7 linked regions of the Oryctolagus cuniculus genome follow. The protein of the gene in region 7 purifies or fractionates together with the protein of the main gene of each other region. This does not show direct contact. Links are inferred from orthologs where the notes say so. Each region holds a gene or a part of one and is shown on either strand. Other genes may lie near its edges. The genes, in order: HDAC2, ZNF219, RBBP7, BCL11B, SMARCB1, ZNF512B and CHD3.

Region 1 (3,500 bases), on a different chromosome or scaffold from region 7:
ATAACACTAAAATACAGAAATAAGCGCACCATGAGGCCGGCGCCGCGGCTCACTAGGCTAATCCTCCGCCTTGAGGCGCCGGCACACAGGGTTCTAGTCCTGGGCAGTCAGGGCACCAGATTCTGTCCCAGTTGCCCCTCTTCTAGGCCAGCTCTCTGCTGTGGCCAGGGAGTGCAGTGGAGGATGGCCCAAGTGCTTGGGCCCTGCACCCCATGGGAAACCAGGAGAAGCACCTGGCTCCTGGCTTCAGATCAGTGCGGTGAGCCGGCCACAGCACGCTGGCTGCAGCGCGCTGGCCACAGTGGCCATTGGAGGGTGAACCAACGGCAAAGGAAGACCTTTCTCTCTGTCTCTCTTTCTCACTGTCCACTCTGCCTGTCAAAAACAAAACAAAACAAAACAAAACAAAACACCATGAAAACCATGAGCGCACATTTAAAGAAAGAGTTTCAAACTGATTTATTATCTAATTACAATATGCAGTAATTCTATGTAGTTTTTAAAAGCAAGCTACTTAACAGATGAGTAGTAAACCAATGACAAAAACCAATGAGTAAGATGGCACAAGTCTCATGCATTAAGACAGACTGAAATTTAGAATATCTCAGACAATGTTCTCAGATTTAGTTAAGTACTTCTCAGTACAGATACCAATAAAGAAACACACCCCAAGGAAATATATTTTTTAATATATAACAATTAATTGATAAGGAATATCATTTACCCTTTGGTATCTGTTTTTTCACCACTGCTATCCTTGGATTTATCTTCTTCCTTAACATCTAGAAACAAAGATTAGGAAAAGATCAAAATCTATTTTGAAATATAATTCAGTATATAAGTTTTATTTCAGGTATTATACTAAATGGTAGATGTTTAAGCTTTAACCTAACAGTCACTGCCCTTTTTGAGCCTTATCACAGCGAGGATAGGGACTTCAAAGGAAAATGCAGCACTGTGGCAGGTGAGGAACGGCTACCACAGATGTGACATCTGAAGCTGTCCTGATGAATGTAGTTTTGGTAGATAAAAAGGGAAGAGAAACATCTTGAATAGACGAAGAAAAAAACTCCAAAGTTTTAAGGACTCTGAGCTAAGAAGAAATTGGCAGGATGGAAGGAGAAACCCTACTGCGGCTAGAGCACTATGAGAAATGGAGAGTAGATGACACAACCAGAGGCTGCTGCCACCTTTAGTTTTGTTTTCTTCTTTTTTTAAGATTTACTTATTTATGTATTTGAAAGGCATAGAGAGAGGCAGAGATATCTTCCACCTGTTGCTAGTTTGCTCCCCAAATTCCCACAACAGCTAGGGATGGGCCAGGCCATAGACAGGTATCAGGAACTCTCTCATGTGGGTGGCAGGGATCATCACCTGACAGTCATCTGCTGTCATCCTATGCAACTCGGCAGGAAGCTAGAATAAGCAACAGCAGTCAGAAGTCAAATCTGGCACTCAGACACAGGATGCAGGCATCCCCAGCAGCAGCTTAACCCACTGCGACAGTGTCTGCCTCATACCTTTATTTTCTAACCCTCACTAAATAAATACTGAAAAGTTTAAAACTTTTCAACAGAAGTTAACACTACAATCTGAAGACTGCAAAAGCAATTTTTTTTAAAGTTTTTAAATATTCTTAAGTATTCTACACATTGCAAGAGTCTAGTCCTATAATATGAACACCCATGTTGACAATATGGATTTTATGGCATTTGTTGTTTAATTTTGGCTATGTGAACTCAAAGTGCCAAAACAGGATGGGAGAGGGAAACATGAAAAAGAAATGGCTCTATGGCCTCGACCCATAGTTTTTTCCTAAAAGTTTTCTTTTTTCTATAGGCTGAGAAATTTTAAGAATCACGAAGCCTGATGACCAAAGAACAGAATTAGAAGTATCAGCTTTGATATGGATTCCTAACACTAGAGAAGAGAAAGAGCCAGTTTACTGGACTACTACTATCTCTGCTTTCATATCAAAACAGGTCAACTAAGATTTTTGCTCATCACTGTTACTTGCATAAAGAAACATACCAAGTGCTGAAAACAGGTATTTAAGATGCTGTATTCCCTAGCCAGCTGGCATGGAGACATATAAATACAGACAAACGATCACAGATTCTGGTGGCAAATTCAATTGCCTAGAGCTGACAATCTTCAAAGATAGAAAGGTAATAGAAAGCAGTATATTTTTAATCTTTTCTGAGAGCTTTGTGTTTTCCTCAATTTCTGAACAAAGTCTATTATCTGGCCTTATTAAAAATGATAAAACTAGTATTAAGTAAAGGTTGATTTCATCTACATAAACTTTAGGTAGTTAAAAATTATCTTAGAATTTCAGCTCTCTCGTAGACTACAGATTTATAACTTACCCTCTCTCTTAACTCTAACTATTTAAGCCTTTATCATCAAGAGAATAAGGTTTCCTATATTATAAAATCAAATGTAAGTAGGAACTTGCAAAGATTTCAATCAAAGATATTTAAAAGCCAAACTTTATATGGAGGAAAAAATAGCATTTACCTAGCATACTCACCTCTCTGTAATACTTACAGTAGATGACTTCAGGAAATTTTTATATTTCAATGTAGTTCTCAATTAAAAAAATTTTTAAATCAGAACACATTCACCAAAAAATTAAATCTGACCTGCTTTTTTGTCCTCTGTTTCTTTCTTGTCTTCTTCAATTCTTGCTTTCTTTGCTCCTTTTTTATGATCAGATACATTCCTACGACCTCCTTCTCCTTCATCTTCAGAATCTGAGAATTCTTCATCACAAGCTATCCGCTTGTCTGATGCTCGAACTGTTAACGTAAGATTTTAACAAGCTTTGAGGAAAAGTCACAAGCTTTAAAATCATTACAGCACACTCATGCAAATGTACTCATCAGTTACCACATTTCAAAGTATAGGATAACAGATGCTTAATAATTTTAAGATTGGAACAAAATGAATGGTTTGCTCTAATACCGAAAACTTAGCTGTGGTTTATAAAACAGTTAAAGAGACATTTGGGGATCTTTTGATTTTCTAAAAGGTAAAAGTTTGGAGGAAAAAAGTATGCTTCTCTTAGAGCAAGTGGGAATAACATCTTTATACCTAAAAGGTGGCCTTTTACTTCAGGGTTCTGAGGAAAAGGAGACAAAATAAAAAATAGTACCATTAATGTGAAATACAATCTCTGTACCATTATGATATAAATCTATAATCATATTAAGTGTAATCAAAGACTATAAAATCAAACAGCAAGTGCTTACTATTTTACACATTCTAATTTGAGCAAATGGCATGTTTTCCCAATTTATTCCTGAATATACATAAGTGGATAGTTTTTGGAAATTTTATATCTTACATGTATAGTTATTTAAACTGAAATTGTACATGCAAATTAGACTATGAAGCACCACAAAGACAAATATGCATAAGATTAAAAATGGAAAAAGCAGGGGCCGGCACTGTGGCGCAGAGGGTTAACGCCCTGGACTGAAGCACCAGCATCCCAT
Region 2 (4,034 bases), on a different chromosome or scaffold from region 7:
AGGGAGAGGAATTCCTGACAGTGCTCCCTCAACCACCCTGTGTTGGCCCCCAGGTCAGCCAGCTATGGCTGGCCATAGCTGTGGTGCCCTTGGCTGTCTCAGTCGCCTGCCTGAACTCTGCTTGTCACATGACCACAGCACTGCCACTCGGGCCTGGAGTCTCAGTAAGACCCACCGCAAGGGAGGGTGGAAGGGAGGAAGATCCTGGGGCCGCACCCTAATGAGATCAGAGGTACACACTTGCCCATCTCACCATTCAGGGTCTTCTCACTGGGGCTGTCACCCTTGAGCTTCGAAGAGCACCCCGCCTCTGGAAGGTGAGAGAAGAGACTGCACTCCTGTCCACCCCCCCCCACACACACACACAGAACCCGCTCCATACAGGAAGTACGTGGTCCTCTAAGAGATGACTAATCCTCTCATCTGTCTATCTGTCACTGGCCTAAAAGACTAATGAGGGAGCACAAGAAAGGTACAGGATGATGACCCTAGTTGGAGGTGGAGAAGCAGGATTTGGGTTTTATTTTCAGCAAGGCTGCAGGTGGGACTTGATGTTGGAATAAGCCCCCCAGGCTGGCCAAGGCTGAGCTGAGTGTCTGGCAGGTGCGCACCATGATGATATTCAACATTTTCAACCTGATCTTGGGCTTCATTGTGGTGGTGGTCGAGGTGTTGAAGACAGCCTTGGGGCCTGCCCTACCTGCCCCCTCCCAGGTACAAGTGCATGAAGGGGAAGGTGGGAGAAGGAGGGAGCAAAAAGAGATGGAGGGCAGAAAGGGCAAAGCAAAGAGGTGCTGGGTCCCTGCAGCATCCTCCGCCCCATCTCCCCACAGCTGGCTGGCTTGCTGGTGGTGCAGCTCAGCGCTGAGGCATTCACCCTAGGGGGAGTGCTGGCCTCGGCATATGCCCTCTTCCTGCTGAGCCAGAGGAAGCCAGGCTGCTGCTGCAGGAGCCGGAGTCTGCGCTACGAGGAGCTGCACGAGGTACTGGGGGCTGGGAGGACAGGACAGTCAGCTGCCAGCCAGTATTTTCAGTCTACCCTGATCCACGATGCTGAAGGAAAAACAACGGGTCAAAAGGAAGTGAAAATAATCCTAGACTTAAAACTGATTGGCTTTCTGGCGTTGGCCATTTCCCCTGTAATGGTGGCTAAGAGGGAACTGGGTATCTAAATGGTTGGGGCTAGAAGGGTGGGAGAGCATTAGGAAGCTGCCCAAGTAAGGTACTGGAAGAGCAAGCTCAGGGTGGTGGAAATGGGTTAGAACGAAGCTGCTTCTAGGGCTTCTTTCTCACTCCTACAATCTGCTTCTTTGGATCTCAGGGCCTCTCCGAGTTGGAGGACGTTCCTAGTTTGGACAACGGTTCCACGGGGGCCAGCACAGGAACCAGGACAAGCGAGTGAGCCGGACAAGCGGAAGCAGACAGGTGCGTCTCCCCCACCCCGAGGAGGCTCTCCAGACGCTCCAGTGTCCCACCCCAGCAAACTCAGAAGCTAGCCGGCCTCCCTCGACACTGGCATGAAGTCCCAGGCGGTGCCTTCGACTCTCACTCAAAGCAAGCCTCCCCTTTTTCCCCTGCCTCGCTAGAAGACACACCTGGACCACAGCCTCCCTGGTCTCGCCACCCTAAAAGCTGCGTCCAGCCTTCCCCTCTGCCCGCCCATACACCTTCACAACTGCCTCATCTCGCTGTGCTCTTCTGTCCAGCTCTCACAATCCCCTGCACTCCAAGCCCCAGTTCTCGCACACGCCAACTCTTGAATCCAATTCAGGGAGCTGCCTTCCAGCCTTCGATCCAGTTGCTGTCTACTCGCTGGAGACTACACATCCCAGCATGCCCCGCTGCCCTGCGGCCTGCTGGGAAATGAAGAGCCTGCCCTCCGCCGCTGGGGCGCTGTGCATCTGCTGAGTGACGCGAGGCGCTCAAGTCGAGGCCTAGCCGAGAGTTGTCTCGGACGCGACCACTGGCCTGCGTGCGGGGTGGAGCCGGGCGGGCCGTCCTGCTCCGGGATGCCGCTACCCTAGCCAGGGCAACTGAGAGCAGACTCTGGGTCCATATCCCTCCCACAGACTGCATCGGAGCCGGTGAGGGCTGGGGGCTGGCGCTTGGCAAAGCTGGGGTTCCCCAGATGCTGTCGCCGCGCCCCCACGAAAGAGTGCCCAGGTCCAAAGTCCTGAGACTTGGAGCGCGCGCGAGAAGGGGGTTGGAGATTGATGAGTCAGAAGCGCGCGGCCTTTCTCTCGCCCCACGTCCCCGGGGCCTGAGTGCCCGAGGCCAGACTCGCTAGGCAGGCTGGTGGACCCGGCAAGCAAAGAGGGACGCGGCGGTCCGACCTACAGCTTTCCCGCCTCTTGCGAGCATGCCGGTGTACCAAGCCCGCGTTGTCGCCACCCTTTCTTTCCAAGGCGGGAGCGGGACTGCGCAGGCTCGGCCTCTTGGCCGCCCCGCTGACCTTTGATCCTGGCCGCGGTCGGGTTGCTGGATCTCTGGTTGCGCTAAGCCCCGCCGTTTACGGCTTTTGCAAGTGTGCAAAGATGGCAAGCTCGGTGGGCTTGGGAAAAGCCCGGGAAGACTTAGGAGTCCCAGTAGCACTAGCCGGGCAGCTCACTAGCCGCTAGAAACTAGAAAGTAACCGGAGCTGGAGAACTAAGAGAACTCACCCCAAATTCACACAGAGCCCGGGATGAGTATTCTCCTCACACTCATTTTTGATCCCACTTGAGAAGGCTTCAGTCCCTAGAGAATGCTGCTTCTCCCGGCTCAGCCAAGCCCAAGCAGCAGTGAGGATAGAGCGCAGCCTGGCTGCCCTGCCTGGATACTGCAGTGGCGCCAGCTGCAGCTTCTTTTTGTTTGTGACACCTTGGGAGGGGTAATAGTCGCCCTATGACAAGGTTAGGTGTGAGGACTAGTGGGTGGGGACAGTTTGGGGATCAGGCTCTGGAATGGAGGAAACCGGAGACGGGCCTCCCCCTGTAACTGCCGCCTAATGGAGAGCTCCTGGATGAGGGGCTCTGAGAAAGAAATCTTCCTGGAAGTCAAAAACTGATGGTAGACGGGGAAGCCGCTGGACGGGGAGTAACGGGGAGTGGGGGTGGAATCAACAGTTTTCCTTATCTCCCAGCTTTTCAGGATGTGATCAGAAGTCTAAATGTTGTATTCTAGTTCTTTGAGAAGCTCAAAGATCATGCAGATGAACCTTGTCTCAGATTACCCTAGGTGATGCCTGCCATGGTAACAATGCTAAAACCTCAGTGGCTTAAGACCACAAAGGTCTGTTTCTCACACTTTCTGTTCAAAGCAGGCTCAGGTACCCAAGCTGATGGAGGGCCGCCATTTTGAGTTCCTATCATATCACCATGAAGCTTAGGGCTGCACCCCCCAACTGTGAAGCACGCATGAAGAATTGTTCTTAGGTTCTTAAGTGCTTGTCCCCTAAAGGGACACATCACTTTTACTCACAGTTCACTGGCCAAAGCAAGTCAAATAGCCACACTCAACTTCAAGGAAATAAGGGCAATTTTGGTATGCATAGAGAGAGCAGAAGAGGCAGAAATGTATTAAATGAAAAAGGGTTCATCATTCGTGGTCTATCTTGAGCACCATAACAGTTGGAATGCTTCTGTTTAAATTTTTAGGCCTGTATCTAGTTCTTTGGTTCCATGATCTCCCAAGTGAAGTTCATAATAGAAATTTTCCTCAAAAAATCATTGGACAGGGAGGTAAAAAAATTTAGATTCTGATTCTGTTGCTTGGGCAAGTCAGGTATCTGAACTACATTTTTTTCACATGGAGGTTGAAACCATAAATTTTATCCTTTATCTCACAGGAGTATCAAAACTTCAAAACTAAAATAAAATCACGTATGGAAAACTACTTTCAACCCATAAGGCACTTCAGGGTTTGAAAATAAATTGCCTATAGAGGTAGGGAGTGGTTTAAATGAGAGAAGCAGATTGGGTATGCAGTAATAGGGAGCAATGAGAACTGTGGCAAACTACAGAGCACACATTCAATGATGGTATTTTTAAAAGTTG
Region 3 (3,240 bases), on a different chromosome or scaffold from region 7:
TTCCAAAGAATCCGTTTTGTGAAGCAGCACTTCATAGTTTTTAAGTATTTTCTAGGAAAGGCATCGCTCCCAGCTATTTTTGTCCTGCTATTTTCACTTATTTTAGTGACAGCTTTGAGTTATAATTCACATACCATACAATTCACTTACTTATACAATTCAGTGTTTTTTAGTATATTCAGAGTTGTACAACCATTTCCACAAGTCAGTTCTAGAACATTTTTTGTTCCTTCAAAGGGAAACTGCCTAATACTCACCTCCTGATCTTCCCATGGCTCCCAGCCACCATCCGTCTTTGTCTCTAAGATTGGGCTATTGTAGGCATTTCATATAATGGACTCATAAAATATGCGTTCCTTGTGACTGATTCTTTAACTTTAGCGTGATGTTTTCAAGGTTTCCAGCTTTTTTTTTATATATATAGCAGAGACGGCAAAGTTTATTACTTTGTACATCATGGCTTTGCAACCGTTTCCTGGAGGTCCTTGAAAATCCTCTAGGACTTTGTTCTTTTCACACACACACAAACCCTGAAATCGGGACATTTGAGTAAACTGTATACTATCATGTCAATATGACAGTGTCTTGCTCTGGTGACCCATATTTTGAGCCATATTTTTACTTGTATACCCCATAAGTGTTTTTGAGAAACTGTTATACCCTCAATTTGTAAACTGATAGAATACTAGCTAAAATAGTTACATCGCATGTAGACTAATTGACAGAGACCTCATTGTCTAAGCAGTCAAAGCAGACTTTGTCAGAAAGTGTGCCTTTTGTATTGTCCTTGACAAGAGCTGTTGCTCTGAATCTTAATGCAAAGATAAGATACAGGGCCTTCCTGTGAGGTTCTCTTGTGGGAAAGCAGACGCTACCCCTTCAGCAAAGCTCTCTGCTTAGGCCTCCATGGGAAACCCTGGAGATATGCTTTTACAGCCCCAGGGGTTGAGGTTTTTTTCTTAACTTGGGACAATGTACCTTTGGAAAGACTGGGGGAGGGTATGAGGTCTGCATTTCTTTTAGTAAAGGTAGAGACCCAGGAGACTCCTTAGGCCTATGTGGGACAGATTGAGCCTGTTGCTGCCTTCCCTCTCAATTTTGTGACAGTTGTTCTCGCCACCCCCAAAAATGATACTCTCAAAACTAAAATTTTTAGCTATTTGGAATAATAGAAGATGACATGAAACCAGGACCCTTTTTTGTTCTTATTAACAGTTTATTCATGGAGGACACACTGCCAAGATCTCAGATTTTAGTTGGAACCCCAATGAGCCTTGGGTCATCTGCTCCGTGTCTGAGGATAACATCATGCAGATATGGCAAATGGTGAGCGGAAATGTTTTTTCACAACTGTCTCATAAAGGAGATTTGCTAGTGATATAAAAGATGCACATTCTACAAAACCAGTGTTGAAACATTGCAAAAGAATATTTTCCATATTAACACAATCTTTAGTTCGATACTGGTACTTTCTTGATCTGCAGTTTGTAGCACCTGTTGGGTTGGGAGAAATGTCTGTAATGTCTCTATATGAGCACGCTGGTTGCAGATGCAGCACCTGCTCTGATTGTTGTGCTCTTCATCCAAGGCTGGCTGGATACCTTTGTCTCCAGGGCCTGTGCTCTGTCATAGGTGTGGAGACAAAAGGGGAACATCAAGATGTTCAAGTCATGCTGAGTTCTTTGAGCACTTGACCAAGTCTTTCATAAATAACATGGCCATAGCTCCCTCTAAATGATGCTTGAAGGACTTTTGGAAAACACTTTTTTTTTGACAGGCAGGTTTAGACAGAGAAAGGTCTTCCTTTTTTCCGTTGGTTCACTCCCCAAATGGCCACTATGGCCGGCGCACTGCGCTGATCCGATGGCAGGAGCCAGGTGCTTCCTCCTGGTCTCCCATGGGGGTGCAGGGCCCAAGCACTTGGGCCATCCTCCACTGCTTTCCCGGGCCACAGCAGAGAGCTGGATGGGAAGAGGAGCAACCGGGACAGAATCTGGTGCCCCGACCGGGACTAGAACCTGGTGTGCTGGCGCCGCAGGTGGAGGATTAGCCAAGTGAGCCGCTGCGCCGGCCAAAAACACTTCAATGAACAGTGATCACAGGATGGCTAGGCATGTAAGTGGAATTACATATTGCAGACTACAAAATCTTTAAAATGTGTCCATGTTTAATTTCCAACACTGAAATACATTGATCAGTGAACTAAATTTTGTTGGTGATTTTGTAAAGACATTGTGGAAGAGTTTTACCTGTGACTTTATTTGGTTGTTATCTCCAGGCCGAAAATATTTACAATGACGAAGAGTCAGAAGTCACAACATCGGAACTGGAGGGACAAGGATCTTAAACCCAAAGTATGAGAAGTTTTCTGTTGAATGTAATGGTAACATGAAAGAATGCTTGATTATCAAGCACCAAAAAGGCATTGTATAGTAAGAATTGTTAAGTGGGATGGCTTATGGCGTTCTTCACCCTCTGATTCTAGCACTTTCAAGTGAGCTATTGCGTACTGTATCATATTGTAGCTGTTAGGGAAGAAAAGAATGTTGCGTAAGAAAGAACATCACCATTGTTTTAAGATCCTAAGTAGCAGGGTACTACTGCCTTGGGTTCAACTGTTTAAGTCCTCATTTTCTCAAACTAAGTGCTTGCTGTTCCCAAATATGCAACAATAACTTTTACACTTTTTCCTTCCAACACTTTCTTGATTGGCTTTGCAGAAATAAAGTTTTAAAATAAACTTTGTTTCATTCTTTTAAAAGGTCAGGGTGAGTGCTCACGCATTTTTGAGCAGAAAGGACAATGGGTACCTATGGACTTCCTACACAGTTGAGGTCACATGAACAACAAAAGAATACACAGAAACTGTCAAATTTATCATACATATTTACTTAATCTATACAGAATTGAGTAGATAAAATCAGATTCACATTAGTGAAAAATCTCTACAAAATGTTTTTGAAAAGCAAAACAAGACTGCCTCTTAACAATTCGTATCCTCATGAAAGACGTGGGCTGTAAAAATAAAGCAGTGTGTTTAGCACAAACTAGAAGATAATCTGCATCATTTTTTTCACAGTTATTTCCATCTACAGTCTGAAAGAGGTAGATTTTTCTGCAACACCTGAGAGTTGAATTGTGATAACCAGGTGTAATAAAGGCAGTTGCATACATAACTAAAAAACAATGGTCTTAAGACCAAGAAATGTACTCCTACAAGTCCGAGGATGAAGGAGGTGG
Region 4 (3,937 bases), on a different chromosome or scaffold from region 7:
GCATCTACCAGTACAGAGGCCGAACAGCCACCCCCTGCCGGGGGAGGGGGCTTCCGTAAAGGAATGGCCTGTCGGCTGGGGCAAGGGACCTGGATCGCGGGAGGCTCAAGTCGGTTGCAAAACATTTTGTTTTGCAGGCAACCAGTGAGTCTTTGATGTCTGCCCGGTGGGGGAAAAAAAGAAAGAAAAATAAAAAAGAAAGCCAGTCTTCCCTGCAAGGCGGCATCCCTCTCGGAAGGCAAGCCCCGTCCTAGCATCTACTCCGCCTCCCAAAATATTAGCAATAATTAATTCCCAGAGTCTTACGAACGTATCGGGTGTAACAAAGGAGACAGCAGCCACCGCAATTGCTCCGAGCAGATGGCTCCTGTGCTGGGATTTCAGAGGAGGGGAGAACCCCTGGATATATTTATTTATTTATTTAAATTTTTTAAAATGTAACATAAATATTCGGCCCTCGGCCGCGCGGCTGCCTTCTTCCGCGGCGGCCGGAGGCGCGCGCGGGCAGCCCGGCCCCAGCCCGGGGCGGTGCACGGCGGGCTGCGGGGCACCGGAGGGCGTTTGATTCCTATTGCAATTTAAAAAACAAAAACAGAGAGCCGCGGCGACCCTGGCGCGGCGCGGGAGCGGACGCGGGAGAGCTCGGCGCGCGGCGGCGGAGCGGCGGAGCGAGGCGCCCTTGGCGGGGCCCGGGCGGGCGCCCCTGCGCTCAGCCCGGCCGCCCGCGCTCGCTCCGCCGGTTCCTGAACGGACCCCGCGCGGCGCGCGAAGCGGCCTGACTGTGCGCGCCCCGCCACGCGCAGGAAAGCCATCGGCCCCAGCCGGCGCGTCTGCACGGCTCCCTGCCTCGCGTGCTCGGATGGGGAAGACGGGCAGACACTGGCGGGGGGCGGGGGTCTCTCTCTCTCTCTCTCTCTCTTTTTTTTTTTTTTTTTTTTTTTGCTATTTTACAAGCGCATCCGTCTCTCCCCACTCCTGACAACCTTCCCCCCCACACACTGTGTAGCGCGGGTTTTTCACCAACTCCAATCCCCCCACCTTTTTTTTTTAGGAGAGGGGAAAAACAGACAAGATCATCCCAGGAGACAGGCGGAGGTGGGGAGGGGGCGCTGGCGCCCGGCTAGCAGCCGCGCAGCTGGATTCTTTTGCCAACAGCAGAGGAGGGGAGAGAGAGAGAGAGAGAGAGAGGCGGCTGCAGACTCCTGCGACCGGCGTGGCCGGCGGCGCCCGGCCGGGCCGGGCCGGGCGCGGCAACCGGGGACCCGCAGCCGGCGGCCGCCCCTCGCCCGCGGCGCGCCCCGCGCTCCTCCGCCCGCACCGTCAGCGCGGACCCACGCGCTCGCCAACTTTTCCCCACTTCCCGGCTGCCCCCTCCCCCTCCGCTCCCCCAGCCCCCTCCCCCTCCGCTCCCAGCCCCGCCACCAGCGCCGGCGCCACACACGCCGCTCGGAGGGGCGACCGTCCAGCCGGGCTCGGCGCGCACACACGCCTCCTGCAGCCCGCGCGCGCCCGCCCCGGCCCGCCGCCGGCCCCGCAGGCCCCCGAGCCCGAGGCGCGTCCGGCTGCGGAGAAACTTTGCCGCGGCGCCCCGCCCTCCCCACCGCGCTCGCGGCCGGCCCGGCCCGGCTGCGCCCGGCTCGGTGTCCCCAGCCCCGGGCCCCTGGCGCGCACGCCGCAGACACTTACGAGTGATGAGCTCCCTCTGGGACAAGTGCTGCGGGTTGCCCTGTTTACGGCGGGACATTGCCCCGGCACCTATTCCGGCATCGCCCGCAGAGCCGCACCGATGGGGGCCGGGTGGGGTCCGAGCCGCCGCCGCCGCCGCCGCCGCGCCTCCTCCTCGGCCTGGGTTGGTGTTTTTTTTCCCCTTCCTCTGCTGCCCTCTCTTCCTCCTCCTCTTCTTCTTTATTTTGCTCTGTCTTCTAGGCTCTTTTTTGTTTTGTTTGCAAAAAGAAAAAGAGAAGAAAAAGAAGGAAAAAAAAAAAAAACCAAAAACCTCCCGATCTAAAAAAGGAGAAAGAAAAAAAAAAAAACAAAAACAAAAACCACTGCTGCTGCTGCTTGCCGCGCGCTGGCCGGTTTCTTTAAAAATATCTTCTTCCGAAGGAAAAAAAAATCTCCTAGACTTCTTCAAACTGCTTGGCCACCTGGACTTCCAGCGTCTTGGAGAACTTGAACGGGGTTTCTGCACCGGCTCCTGACACTTTTCTTTCGGGGTCTGGTAGATGGAGAGCGCACTTCTACCAGGAAAGGGGCAAAGGAGAAAAAAAAAATGCAAACAAATGAAAAAAAAATAAATAAAAGAAAGAAAAAGGCCAAGCAAACTTGGGGACTTGTCGCGTCCCCCTCTCACCCCGCCCCCTCCAAAAACGCACGGCGAGGTAGCACTGCCCCGGCTCGGCCGCGTCTGGGCTGCGTGCGGGCCGCCCGCGCTCTGCTCGGAGACTGACCCTGCCGCGGCTCCGGGGGACTCCGGGAGCGGCTCCTCCCAGTCCACCTGGCAGGCGGGCGCCGGCCGGAGCGGCTGCCGGGTCCCCGCGAGCGCTGCCCGGCGCTGCCCCGGCGCCGCGGGCCCAGGGGCAGCGGGGCTGAGGGCGGCTCGCCCAGGGCGCCTGGGTCGGTGCGGGCGCGGACTGGGAGCTTATAGATTGCAACGTGAAGATGGCGGAGTCCGGGTTCTCCGGGAGCTCTCGGTCTCTCTATGGCTGGGGCTGCCTCTGTACAATGGGATAAAATTCAAGTTCAAGTGCGGACGTGACGTTTAATCTGCACTAGAGACAAAAAGACCCAGCGCGTCGGAGCACTGGGGGCGACTAGCGGTGGCTTTTTAACATTGTACCCTGCAAGAGAACAAGCCGCACACACAGGCGCGCGCTCGCCCGCGCGCAGCCCCGCCGCCCGCCGGCCACACGTGCCGAGCGCGGGCCGCTGCGCTCCCGGCTCCCCCGGCACCGGCTGCGCGAGGACGGCGGGGGGCGGGGGCCGGGGGGGGGCGACGCTTTCCCCAAAAATCCCCAGCACCCCCTCCTCTCCCGGGGCCAGGACCCCCGGGAAGGGGGCGCGGCTAAGTGAGAGAATGCCGGCCGGTACCACCCGCCCGCCCAGAAGCTTTCGGGGAGCTGGGGGTGGGGGGCGAGGCGGCCACATGAGGCCGGGGGCTCAGCGGCTTGGGCCCCCGGAAAAGTGGCCGGGCTGCTTTTACTTTTGTTTTATTGGGGGGCCGGAGTGGGGAACCTGGGGTTAAACTTCCCAAAAAGTGCCTCTTCGGGAGCCCCGGTGTGGGCCCCGTGGGAGAGCGAGGTGCACAGAGTGAATGAGAGGGAGGGGTACCCGGGACCTCGCTCCGAGGCCCTTTTTGGGAGGGATTTCCTCCCAAATTTTGGCCCTGCCACCTCTCATCCCAGCGACTCCCAGGGGTCACACGCGGCCCCACTCCTATCGCTGAGGTCCGAGCAGAGCTGGGGGCGCTCCACGTGGGACGGGAACTCGGACCCGCCGGCCCAGGCAGAGGTGTGGCCGCAGCTCCTCGGCTGGGGGTGACTCCCGGCACCCTGGAGGCCACCCCCCACGCGCGGCTCGGCGGGCCCCGAGGACTTGAAATCGCCGGTCAGCCACGGCAGCTGTTTGATCCGCAGCGGGCGAGGCCCGGCGGAGTTGTGGGGGGCGGTGCGCGGCCCGAAGTCCCCGTGGGCAGCCCCGTCCGCGCCCTTCCCCCGGCGGCGGCCAACTTCGTCCGCTGGATGACCCGGCCTCCAGGGCTGGGCGCGCCACGCGGCTGGACCCCCGGCCCTTCCCAGGGCTCCTCTGGTCGCGGCCAGGGCGCGCCAGGGCCTGGCCCGGGCTGGGCTCGGCGGGCAGGCCCTGGCCCCCGCCCCCGCGCGCGCACCCCGCGCCTGGGCCCGCTCGGCAGGCTTCTCCCGAGCCAGTGGCGAGGCCG
Region 5 (4,155 bases), on a different chromosome or scaffold from region 7:
TGTGTGTACAGCATGTACAAAGCCTTTTCTTTCTTCCTTTTTTACTGAGTGTTATTAAACATGGTTGTTTTCTACCTGCCTGCCTGGTCTCTCTTTGTGCAGCCAGGGTTGGGAGGCCTGGCTCAGGGTCCCCTCCTGTGCCATTCCTCCACCACGTCTCTCGTCAGACCCTTGCAATGGTTTCTTAACTGGTTCCCTGTTCCCTGCCCAGTTCACCCTGGAGTGCTGGTCATTTGATCTGATCGTGCCATGCCCCAGCCCCGATCCTGAAACGCTTTGGCTTCCCACTGTTGCGAGGCCTGGGAATAGAACTCAGGGCTCCGGGGCCCTTCCTAACTGCAGCACCAACTTGCATCCTAGTCTCACCTACCTCTGCTCCATAACTGTGCCTGCCTATCAGAGCTGCCATTTTATTAGACTGAACCGTACGACACTGTCAGTAGCAGGCTTGTCTTTTTAATTTTTAAGATTTATTTGAAAGTCAGACAGAGATCTTCCATCTACTGGTCCACTTCCCCCAAATGCCCAGGGCAGCCGAGGCTGGGCAGGGCTGAGGCCAGGAACTCCATCTAGCTCTCCCATATCCCAGGGTGTGCATTAGCAAGAAGTTGGAGTCAGCAGAGCCAGGATTCGAGCCCAAGTGCTCTGATATGGGATGCGGGTATCCCATAGGGTGTCTTACCCACTGCGCCAAACACTTACTCCATTAGTGGGCTACTTTGAATCCACTGCATTGTTCCACCGGATACACGGATTGCTTTGCTGTTTGCCTTAGTACAGGAGCCCGCCGGCTCTGGGCTGTGCGTGCCACAGGGCAGCAGCACAGGGTTGGACTTGCAGACACCCAAGTGCAGACTTAAGGGAAGCAGGGAGAAGGTGTTCCTTGCACAGCCTTCTGAAGTGCCAGCCAAAGCAAACAGCACCTGGGCCTTTGAATACCGCCAAGCCTCAGAGTTTTTTTTTGCTGGTGCCAGTCCCACCCAGTGTTGTCATTCCGCCCGTTCCCAAAGCCGCAGGGACAGCTGTGAGCCTGGAGCTGGGATGGGCCGCTGCGGTCTGAGGTGGGATGTGGCGGTGCCAAGCCGGGAGCACGGCCGCCACGCCATTCAGACTTGCAGATGTCGCTCTGTCCTCCGGCCCGACATCAAGCCTCACTTCATGTCTCCTCTCCTGGGCTCAATTCCAGCCCTGGCCGTGAGACTGGGAAAGTCACTGCCTGAGTCAAGGCCATCGTGGCTATTTCTGTCCGTGAGAACATTTCGATTTGGGAAGTTGCCTGGGAGGCAGAGGAAACGGGTCGTGGCTCCTTTAAGGGGCCCGCGGGAGCGCGCCCGGCCTTTTGTCTGGGCGGCGGCGTGCGCGTCGGCGTCAACGCCCGCGCAGGCGCACTGAGGGCGGCCTGGTCGTCGACGGCGGCGGCGTCTGAGGAGCCCGGTGGTGGCGCGAGCGCCCGCCCAGCCCGCCCTTTGCTTCTTGGCCTCGGTTCCCCTCAGCTTTGGCGCGCCCGGGCCCCGCCCCAGCCCTCCCGATTCCCCGCAGCCCGGCTCCGGCCTCCCTCTTCCGCCGCCGCGATGATGATGATGGCGCTGAGCAAGACCTTCGGGCAGAAGCCCGTCAAGTTCCAGCTGGAGGACGACGGCGAGTTCTACATGATCGGCTCCGAGGTAGCCCGCGGCGAAGGCGTCTCCTCGCCCTCCCCGACCCCGCGGGCGCCCCGGGGCGGGCCTGGGCGCCGGGAGCGCGCGCACCCCCCCATTCATTGCCGCGGGCGGGCTGGCGGGCGCGTGCGCGCGGGGGGCGTGGTCGGGGGGCGGGGCCCTCCTCAGCTCCCTGCAGCCGGGGCTTCGGGCGCAGGGAATCTGGGTGTCCTGCGGCACCCGAGGGGCTGTGGGAGCCTCACGCGCGCCCCCTCCACCCATTGCTAGGGTCGCCAACCAGGGACTGAGTGAGGGGCCCAGTCCCGCTTTGTGTCCGCAGCCCGTGAAGCTGGGGCGGGGGAGACGGTTTTGTGACCCCTGTTTTAAGGATGTTTGCTTTTGCATGGAGAAGACCCCCGCCCCGCCCCGGGCCGGGGGCCTCCTGGGCTGGGTCCTAAAGCAGTTTTGAAAGCCTCACTTGACGCTTTGCGGAGAGGTGAACTGAGGCTGAGTTTTCGCAGGGGCAGAGCGAGCGAGCCCAGGGGGCCGCCATGGTCTTACAGAAGCCACAGCAGTCTGGGTGGTGGGATCTGCGTGGAGCGTTTATCCACGTTTCTAAAGCCCGCGCTGTGGTGGAGGACCCCGTAACGCCTGCCTGGCGTTGGACAATCACAGGTGTCGGTAGCATCAGGACTTCAGCCTTTTTTCTTTGTCACCGGTTTTATAAAGCACAAAGGGCAAAGACACTGCATTTTTCATGCTGTCGCTTAGATGCTGCTGTCCCAAGACGGCTGTGCTGGGGGAGTGGAACCAGTGGCTGTGGAGCCACCGGGGCTCGGGAGAGCCTCCCTGGTTTGTAGGCGCCTGCCTGCACGCGGGATGGAAAAGGCAGTGGGGAGTTCAGGTAGAGGATGTCGGGGAGGTTGTGTTACCTGATTTAATGAGTGCACAAGGAGGCAGTTTGGCCTTGATTCTGAGTGGATGGTACTTTTTCTTTCTTTTTTAAAGATTTATTTATTTATTTGAAAGGCAGAGTTACACACAGAGGGAGAGACAGAGAAAGAGAGAGAGAAGTGCATCCACTGGTTTGCTCCCTAAATGACCACAATGGCAGGGCTGGGTCAGGAGCCTGGCACTCCATCTGGGTCTCCCTCATGGGTGGCAGGGGCCCAAGCACTGTGGCCATCTTTCACTAGTTTCCCAGACGGTATTAGGGAGCTTGATAGGACGTAGAGCAGCCTGGATTTGACCAAGAGCTTATATTGGGGCATTGAGGGTGGCAGCTTAATTTAGCCACATAGCACTGTCTTGATGATATGGGGTAAGACAGGTTGATGGATCAGGGCTATACCTCTCCTGCCCTGTGTGATCCTATCTGCCTACCTGTCAGTCAAATAACCCCTTTCCCAAGATATATCTCCCTTTATCTGGAACCTGGAGACAGTACCATGTAACCACTCCCCTTTCTTCTTTGTTGTCATCGTCGTCTTACTATTTTTATAAAAATCAGCTACCGAGCAAGAGAGAGAGAGAGATCTTCTATCCATTAGTTCACTCCCCAGATGGCTGTAAGAGCCAGGGCTTAGCCAGGAGCCAGGAGCTTCTTCCAGGTCTCCCGTGTGGGTACAGGGGCCCAAGCACCTGAGCCATCTTTGGCTGCTTTTCCCAGGCCTCAGCAGAGAGCTGGATCAGAAGTGGAGCAGCCAGTTCACGACCCTGCACTCCTATGGGATGCAAGCCCTGACCAGTACACTGTCTAACCTCCTAAGAGTCTAGAAAGGGGGAGCTCGCTCGCTCGCTCATTGTCTGTCTCTGTAGAGGAGCATGAGATAAGGAGCTGAGGCACCGTTCTGTACCTCCCTCCCCTCCTGACCCACTCTGTTCCTGAGCAGTGCCCAAGTATGTGTATGTTTTCCTTACCCTTTCAATAAACCTTATCACTTTGTGCGTTGTATTTGTGCCTCTACTTAGTATGCTTCTCCAGGTAAAAGGCAAGGACTTGGAATAGGGATTTAGACCCCACCTTGCCCACGACATTGATACCCAATAGCTCCTGGCGCAGTGTGGAAGGGGTGACCCAGTTCCTTTCCCTTGGGAGACAAGCAGTGCATTCAGAGAGGTGGGCTGGCCACAGCAACACACCCAGTGCCTCCCTGTGTCATCCATGGAGCTGCCTCGGGAGAAACCCGCAGGTGCCGTGCGTGCCTCCCTTCCCCCAGCATCTGCAAGCAGCAGTTTCCACCAGGCCAGGCTCACAGAGCTGAGAGGACCCTAAGGGATCCCTAGGTCCAGCATCTTCATTTTACATTTGGGAAACCTGGGTCCAAGGAGACTACAGCTGGGCCAGGGAAAAGCCAGGCCAAGGGCGCCCCAGGGCCCTATGCGCTGAGGGGGCCTTGGGTGTCCCGGAGTTCTGCAGCCCCTAGGCAGTGACCAGGGCACTGTTGTCAATTTCTTTCTTTCTTCTTCTTCTTTTTTTCCTTCTATTTTTATTTACTTGAAAGACAGAGAGGGATCT
Region 6 (2,434 bases), on a different chromosome or scaffold from region 7:
CAGTTTGACCAGAATCTCCACCCCCTCCCCGAGTCAGGAAGGAAGCAGAAGACGCCCAAGAAGTTCACGGGGGAGCAGCCGTCCATCTCGGGGACCTTCGGGCTCAAAGGTGAGACCCCAGCCAGCCAGGCCCCTCGGGCACGCGCTGGGCCCTCAGCAACACACCCCCACGCCCCTGTTGCTGTGCCCGTAGGCCTGGCCAAAGCCGAGGACAAGGCCCGCACTCACCGCTCCAAGAAGCAGGAGGGAGGCCCCGAGGACCCGCGGAGGAAGGTGCCCACCCCTCCCACCGCAGTCAGCAAGGAGGCTCCGGCCCCTGTGGCCCACTCAGCCCCAGGTGGGGTCTCTGGCGGGCTGGGGGGTGGGGGCACACCGTGTGGCCTTGGATTCCCTACCTGGAGTCCCTGAGTGCCCGGCCCTGCCTCTAGGTGGCGCTGAGGAGCAGTGGCAGCGCGCCATCCACGAGCGGGGGGCCGTAGTCTGCCCCACCTGCGGCGTGGTCGCCCGGAAGACCCTGGCAGGGCTCAAGCGGCACATGGAGGTGTGCCAGAAGGTGAGGGCCACGTGCTCAGGGGTGGGGTGGGGGTGGGGCCCCGTGGGGCCAGGCTGCTCACCCCTCCCCCCCCCCGCAGCTACAGGATGCGCTCAAGTGCCAGCACTGCCACAAGCAGTTCAAGTCCAAGGCAGGCCTCAACTACCACAGCATGGCCGAGCACAGCGCCAAGGTACCACCCCGCAGTCCCCAGTCCCGGGGCCGGGCCGGGCCCAGGGCCGACGGCTCTGAGGCTGGCCCTGTCCTCAGCCCTCCGACGCCGACGCCTCTGAGGGGGGTGAGCAGGAGGAACGGGAGCGGCTGCGCAAGGTGCTGAAGCAGATGGGGCGGCTGCGCTGCCCCCGAGAGGTCAGTGTGCCCCAGTGGTCAGCCCGGGGCACGGGGCTGCCCGGGCGCCCAGCTGATGTCTGCCCCCAACCCCAGGGCTGTGGGGCCGCCTTCTCCAGCCTCATGGGCTACCAGTACCACCAGCGGCGCTGTGGGAAGCCGCCCTGCGAGGTGGACAGCCCCTCCTTCCCCTGCGCCCACTGTGGCAAGACCTACCGCTCCAAGGCTGGCCACGACTACCACGTGCGCTCGGAGCACGCGGCCCCGGTGAGTGGCCCTCACGTGCCCCCGGCAGCCTGCACTTCATGCTGACCCTGACTCTGACCCCTGTCTTTCGCTGTCCTGCCCCATGGCTCACCTGGCGCTGCAGCCCCCCGAAGAGCCCACGGACAAGCCCTCTGAGGCCGAGGACCTGCTGGGTGTGGAACGGACCCCGAGCGGCCGCATCCGCCGCACCTCGGCCCAGGTGGCAGTGTTCCACCTGCAGGAGATCGCAGAGGACGAGCTGGCCCGAGACTGGACCAAGCGGCGCATGAAAGATGACCTGGTTCCCGAGACAGCACGGGTGAGTGAGCCGCTGGCCGCAGGCTCCAACCCCTGCCTCCGCGGATGAGCCGCTGGCCTGGTGCCGTGCGCTGGGACCCCTGTCCCCGCGGATGAGCCGCTGGCCTGGTGCTGTGGCTCTCATGACCCCTGAGAGTCTTCGGAGACTGTGCCTGTGGTAAGGGCGTGGCTCACCTGGCCCCCGACTTCACAGCTCAACTACACGCGCCCGGGCCTGCCCACGCTGAACCCACAGCTGCTGGAGGCGTGGAAGAGCCAAGTGAAGGAGCAAGGCCACGTCAGCTGCCCCAATGATGTGAGCGGGGCGGCCGGCAGGGGGCGTGGGGAGGCCGAGGGGGGTGCTGAGCCCGGGGTGACCGTCTGGGTAGGAACAGAGGCCAAGACCTGCCAGGAGGGGCCTGTCCTTAGCCACCAATCCACCCCGACCACGGGCCCCTGCAGGGTGCTCAGATGGAGACCCCTGTGGGCAGAGGAGGCCGGGACCTCCCACCCTGTGCCCAGCCTGCTCTCCGCCCAGAGCTCACAGGGTCCAGAAGCCCCTGCACTTGCCCTAGAGAGGCCCCGGGCTCCCCTGGCCTGAGGCCCTCCCCCACGCTGCCTCCTGCCCGCAGTGCTGCGAAGCCATCTACTCCAGCGTGTCCGGCCTCAAGGCCCACCTCGCCAGCTGCGGCAAGGTCAGTGTTGGGGCTCCCTGTGGCCACTCCCAGCTTGGGCCCACCGGGGAGCCCGGTGCAGGAGCTGGACGGCCAGGCCTGAGGGCTGGCAGCTCCTCCCTCCCGGCCCCTCCCAGCATGCACTGCCACCACTCCCCTCTGGCTGCCCCCCTTCCGTGGGGGAGGGCTGGGGACTGCACGCAGGTGTGTTGCAGGGGGACCACCTGGTGGGGAAGTACCACTGCCTGCTGTGTCCCAAGGAGTTCAGCAGCGAGAGCGGCGTCAAGTACCACATCCTCAAGACGCACGCGGAGGTGCGAGGGCAGCAGCTGGGCTG
Region 7 (3,500 bases):
GGAGGTTAGAGGATCAGTAAGTACAGATTCAAAGAATTATGAGGGTCACAGGGGCCAGGAGTCAGTCCCTCCGCCAGGCAGGATTAGATGGTTACAGGGCTCTGGGATGGAATCTATCATTAACGAGGTAGGAGGGTGTGGAAGGCAGGGTTGAGGGTCACAGGGAAGTTCCGTGGGGGCGGGGCAGAGGGGTGGGTGGGTGGTAGATTCTGCCTCATGAGCCAATGTGATCTGCAGGGTTGCAGCTGAGACTTTCCGTGGCATGCACACAGCCAAGACTCCCAATGGGGCGGTCAGAGCAGGGTGGCAGGCGTGCAGCTCCACCGCCAGTGGCCAGTGAGGAGGTCCCACTGTGTGGCGTGGGCAGGGACTCTCGGGGTAGGGGTCCCTCTACTGGGCACTGATGTGAATGCTCTCAGGCATGGATGAGGCTCGGCTCATCTTAGAGGCTACAAACCAAGCGAGTGCCAAGTGGGCTAGGGGTGGGGGTTAGGGGTGGGGGGGTGGTTCAGAGGGTAAAGGGTTCAGAGGGGTGGGGAGATTTTGAGGGGTGCGGGGTGAAGACTTACGCAGCGTTGTGGGCCCTCCCCCGCGCGGGGCCGCCGCGGCCCTTACCCTTGTGCAGGACGGCGTTGGCCGGCTTGTTCCCCGCCAGAGACTCCTTGGAGAGGTGCTGGTGGCTCTCGGCCAGGCACTCGGCCTCGGCGAAGCGGGCGTGGAGGGCCATGGCGGGGTGCGCCGGCTCCTGCGACAGGTTCAGGTAGGCCGCCCGCCGCAGCTGCTCCTCTATCACCAGCGCCTGCTCCAGGAGCTGAGGACACAGGGGTTGGGGCTGGGGGTGAACGCGGGCTCTGCCAGCAGTGGGTGAGACAACGGAAGACCCCACAGCACTGGAGACCCACTGGGTCCTCACTGCAGGCCCAGGGCACTGCCCCCCCCCCCCGCCCCCGGCTCCACACTGTGACCCCAGCATCAACCCTGATCCGGACCGCAGCCCCAAACACGAAGCTCCGCCTTGGTCTCAGCCTCGGAGGTGTGCACCTTCCCAGGGCTCCACCAGACCTGCCCACTCCCAGCCCGACCCGGGCCCTCCTGCACTCTGTTCCATTCCTCCCTCATTCCCACCTTGAACCTCCGGGCCAGGAATTTGTTTTTCATCTCCAGAAAGTTCCCCTTATTGGCCTCAGTTTTAAATGGCTCATTGATAATGGCAAACTGAGCATCATTCTGGATGTCCTGCCACCGTGCGTAGCCATGGCTGCCAATGAAGGGGAGGGAACCGTCAAGGAATTTAACAGGGACGTGCCTGCGAAAACCTCCTCCCTTTGGTCTGATCTCCCCAAAGTCTGGCACGAACGCCCCTGCTCTCAACGTGAACTCTGTCTTCTCCATGGCTCCCCTCTCCCTAAGAGGACCTTTCTCTTCCTGTATTTGTATCGAAGGATACAGGACAATCCCGGCCAGAAGCCAATAGTCATGTCTTCGGTGCCAGATCTCGTTGAGTTTCCCGGAAGAAATAGCTGCCCGCTCCTCGTTCTGCCACAGCGTATGAAGCTCTGAAGAGAAGACAGCAGACAGAACGGGCATCGGGGGCTGCAAACCACATCGCGTCCGACAGACAAGTACAGGTGGGAAGACAGCGACAGTGGGACACTAAGGGCGCCGTAGACCAGGTAGAGGCTAGGTGAGGAATGAAGTCAGGAGCAGGATTCAAGTTCGGTTGAAGAGTGAGGGTGGGATTAGAGATGCAGTTGGGAGGTGACCGAAGGACGATGCAGAGCAGGGGCCAGCGTCAGCACGCACCACCTCGTTGCAGTCACTCGAGCAGAAGGCTCAGGCACAATGAGAATTCCCTCCCCTCCCCCGCCACGAGCAACTCCCAGTGAGGCGCAGACAGGGCCAAGAACTTCCTGTACCTGTGAAGCCACCGTCTGCGATATTGAACATGAACCGGGGCTTCTCTGCCTTCTCCTCGCGGCGCCCACTGGACCGTGGCTCATCCCGGGGCCCAGGTCGAAGCTCCCGGTCACCTTTTGCATCTTCTGCTGCGACAGACAGGGCAAGGCTCACCCCTCAGGACGGTCTCCTCCCACGTCCCAGACTACCACTGGCACTGTACTGGCCACTGGAACAGTGGCCCACCCAGGACCCAGGCATTTGCAACCCCAGACTCCACCTCCCCTGATTCCCTCCGGGCCCCGGGTGTCCAGTCCTTCCACTCATTACCTCTCTTGCCCAAATCCCCTGTTTCCCTCTCCGGCCTCTCCCTGTGTTCCTGTCCATCCAGCGGCTTCTCCTCCCCCCTTTCTCCTGGCGTCGACTCTGTGGCTGTGGGAGGGGGCAGGGGATAGGAAGGGAGGCCGTCACCCTCATCCCCTGGCCCTGGGAGAGGGGATCCCCAGGTTCTAAGGCCCCATCATCCCTCAGGCCCGGCACTCACCTGACTTCTCTCTGTCCCCTCGGAACCCAGATTCGGGCTCCATCTCTCCAGGCGCCCCTGGGATCTCATCCTCTAAGGGAATCCTCCTTGGCTCCAGCCGCTCCCCAAGAGAGGGGGCAGGGCTGGGAGCCTCAGCCTAGAGGACAATGGAGTCAGGATGAGCTGGGCGCTCCCAGGCTCCAGCCCCCGGGACCCTACAGGCCCTGTCCTCAGGGGAGCCGGGCAGCCACACACCTCTGTCTCCATCTTCTCCCCAAGTCTGCTGTTCTTCTCTGGCTTCTCCTCTTGGCTTCCAGCTTCATCTTTCTCAAGAGGCGTCCTTATGCCTTCTCCTTTCTCGCTTGGAGCTGGAGTAGCTGCAGAGGGGAAGGCGGAGTGAGCAAGGCAGCCGTTCCCCGACCCAGACTCCTGACCCCACCTCTGTCTGCCCCGCCCTCCCTGCCCCTGGTTACCAGGCTTGGAGGTGCAGGGACTGTTGGTGGCAGAAGCCTCGGGAGTGGTAGGAGACGTTTTGGTCGGAGAGGAGGCTCGGGAGGAGCGCTTGGAGTCGGCGCTGGGATCAGGCATCAGCTCTGGCATTGACCAGCGCCCGTTGATGTGCTCAAACTCCTGCACCTGGTGGGTGGGCGTCATGGGCCAGAGGTCAGCTCGAGGCACCGGACACTCGGGAAGCTCCTAGCCCGTGTCTTGCCCTAGTGTGACTGCACAACCCAAGAATGGAAGACAGAGGAAAGACAGGGCCAAGGGGCCAGCTGACGCTTTGGGCGACGGGAAGACTGATACCTTCTTCTTCACGAGAGACATGACTCCGATGCGGGTCAGCACCTGCTGGCGACTCAGTCCCTCCCGGGGGACTCCATCAGCGAAGGTCTCTGAGCCGTCTGCCCCAGGCTCACACAGATGGCGCATGAACAGAGACACATAGGCCCTAGGAGCATGGGGGTGGGAGGGGGTTAGGGAGCCTCAGAAGGGGTACAGGGCAGTGAGGGAGGCACAGGAATTACTGAACTCAGGTGCCCCCAGGTTCCTCCCCTGGGCCTCTCCCCCTTGCCACTCTCAG

What was found.
Region 1: the proteins of CHD3 (region 7) and HDAC2 purify together in Homo sapiens (affinity purification with mass spectrometry; 12 studies listed by BioGRID and IntAct, with this or other methods). This does not show direct contact. The link is inferred for Oryctolagus cuniculus from reciprocal best matches to the Homo sapiens genes CHD3 and HDAC2.
Region 2: the proteins of CHD3 (region 7) and ZNF219 purify together in Homo sapiens (affinity purification with mass spectrometry; 3 studies listed by BioGRID and IntAct, counting the BioPlex papers as one, with this or other methods). This does not show direct contact. The link is inferred for Oryctolagus cuniculus from reciprocal best matches to the Homo sapiens genes CHD3 and ZNF219.
Region 3: the proteins of CHD3 (region 7) and RBBP7 purify together in Homo sapiens (affinity purification with mass spectrometry; 6 studies listed by BioGRID and IntAct, counting the BioPlex papers as one, with this or other methods). This does not show direct contact. The link is inferred for Oryctolagus cuniculus from reciprocal best matches to the Homo sapiens genes CHD3 and RBBP7.
Region 4: the proteins of CHD3 (region 7) and BCL11B purify together in Homo sapiens (affinity purification with mass spectrometry; 3 studies listed by BioGRID and IntAct, with this or other methods). This does not show direct contact. The link is inferred for Oryctolagus cuniculus from reciprocal best matches to the Homo sapiens genes CHD3 and BCL11B.
Region 5: the proteins of CHD3 (region 7) and SMARCB1 purify together in Homo sapiens (affinity purification with mass spectrometry; 3 studies listed by BioGRID, with this or other methods). This does not show direct contact. The link is inferred for Oryctolagus cuniculus from reciprocal best matches to the Homo sapiens genes CHD3 and SMARCB1.
Region 6: the proteins of CHD3 (region 7) and ZNF512B purify together in Homo sapiens (affinity purification with mass spectrometry; 3 studies listed by BioGRID and IntAct, with this or other methods). This does not show direct contact. The link is inferred for Oryctolagus cuniculus from reciprocal best matches to the Homo sapiens genes CHD3 and ZNF512B.

The regions. Positions count from the first base shown.
Region 1 is NC_091436.1:57,442,399-57,445,898, reverse strand, and holds part of HDAC2 (histone deacetylase 2), read right to left. Parts: intron 2,802-3,500; coding exon 2,646-2,801; intron 783-2,645; coding exon 725-782; intron 1-724. UniProt on the Homo sapiens protein: Histone deacetylase that catalyzes the deacetylation of lysine residues on the N-terminal part of the core histones (H2A, H2B, H3 and H4).
Region 2 is NC_091443.1:53,795,178-53,799,211, reverse strand, and holds the start of ZNF219 (zinc finger protein 219), read right to left. Parts: upstream 2,801-4,034; 5' UTR 2,661-2,800; exon of another isoform or gene 1,403-2,660; coding exon of another isoform or gene 1,322-1,402; intron 984-1,321; coding exon of another isoform or gene 834-983; intron 715-833; coding exon of another isoform or gene 604-714; intron 318-603; coding exon of another isoform or gene 261-317; intron 165-260; coding exon of another isoform or gene 54-164; intron 1-53. Other genes in the region: TMEM253 (transmembrane protein 253), read left to right, coding at 54-164, 261-317, 604-714, 834-983, 1,322-1,402. UniProt on the Homo sapiens protein: Transcriptional regulator. Recognizes and binds 2 copies of the core DNA sequence motif 5'-GGGGG-3'. Binds to the HMGN1 promoter and may repress HMGN1 expression. Regulates SNCA expression in primary cortical neurons.
Region 3 is NC_091453.1:3,004,356-3,007,595, reverse strand, and holds the end of RBBP7 (histone-binding protein RBBP7), read left to right. Parts: intron 1-1,215; coding exon 1,216-1,326; intron 1,327-2,278; coding exon 2,279-2,347; 3' UTR 2,348-2,740; downstream 2,741-3,240. UniProt on the Homo sapiens protein: Core histone-binding subunit that may target chromatin remodeling factors, histone acetyltransferases and histone deacetylases to their histone substrates in a manner that is regulated by nucleosomal DNA.
Region 4 is NC_091451.1:43,161,912-43,165,848, forward strand, and holds the start of BCL11B (B-cell lymphoma/leukemia 11B), read right to left. Parts: upstream 2,801-3,937; 5' UTR 1,745-2,800; coding exon 1,687-1,744; intron 1-1,686. UniProt on the Homo sapiens protein: Key regulator of both differentiation and survival of T-lymphocytes during thymocyte development in mammals.
Region 5 is NC_091452.1:30,724,269-30,728,423, forward strand, and holds the start of SMARCB1 (SWI/SNF-related matrix-associated actin-dependent regulator of chromatin subfamily B member 1), read left to right. Parts: upstream 1-1,355; 5' UTR 1,356-1,571; coding exon 1,572-1,664; intron 1,665-4,155.
Region 6 is NC_091442.1:212,969-215,402, forward strand, and holds part of ZNF512B (zinc finger protein 512B), read left to right. Parts: intron 1-37; coding exon 38-109; intron 110-193; coding exon 194-337; intron 338-428; coding exon 429-553; intron 554-632; coding exon 633-725; intron 726-802; coding exon 803-901; intron 902-976; coding exon 977-1,147; intron 1,148-1,250; coding exon 1,251-1,445; intron 1,446-1,637; coding exon 1,638-1,739; intron 1,740-2,055; coding exon 2,056-2,118; intron 2,119-2,312; coding exon 2,313-2,411; intron 2,412-2,434. UniProt on the Homo sapiens protein: Involved in transcriptional regulation by repressing gene expression. Associates with the nucleosome remodeling and histone deacetylase (NuRD) complex, which promotes transcriptional repression by histone deacetylation and nucleosome remodeling.
Region 7 is NC_091448.1:52,449,511-52,453,010, reverse strand, and holds part of CHD3 (chromodomain-helicase-DNA-binding protein 3), read right to left. Parts: intron 3,369-3,500; coding exon 3,224-3,368; intron 3,056-3,223; coding exon 2,893-3,055; intron 2,797-2,892; coding exon 2,675-2,796; intron 2,577-2,674; coding exon 2,441-2,576; intron 2,329-2,440; coding exon 2,227-2,328; intron 2,046-2,226; coding exon 1,917-2,045; intron 1,557-1,916; coding exon 1,448-1,556; intron 1,259-1,447; coding exon 1,126-1,258; intron 812-1,125; coding exon 616-811; coding exon of another isoform or gene 570-615; intron 1-569.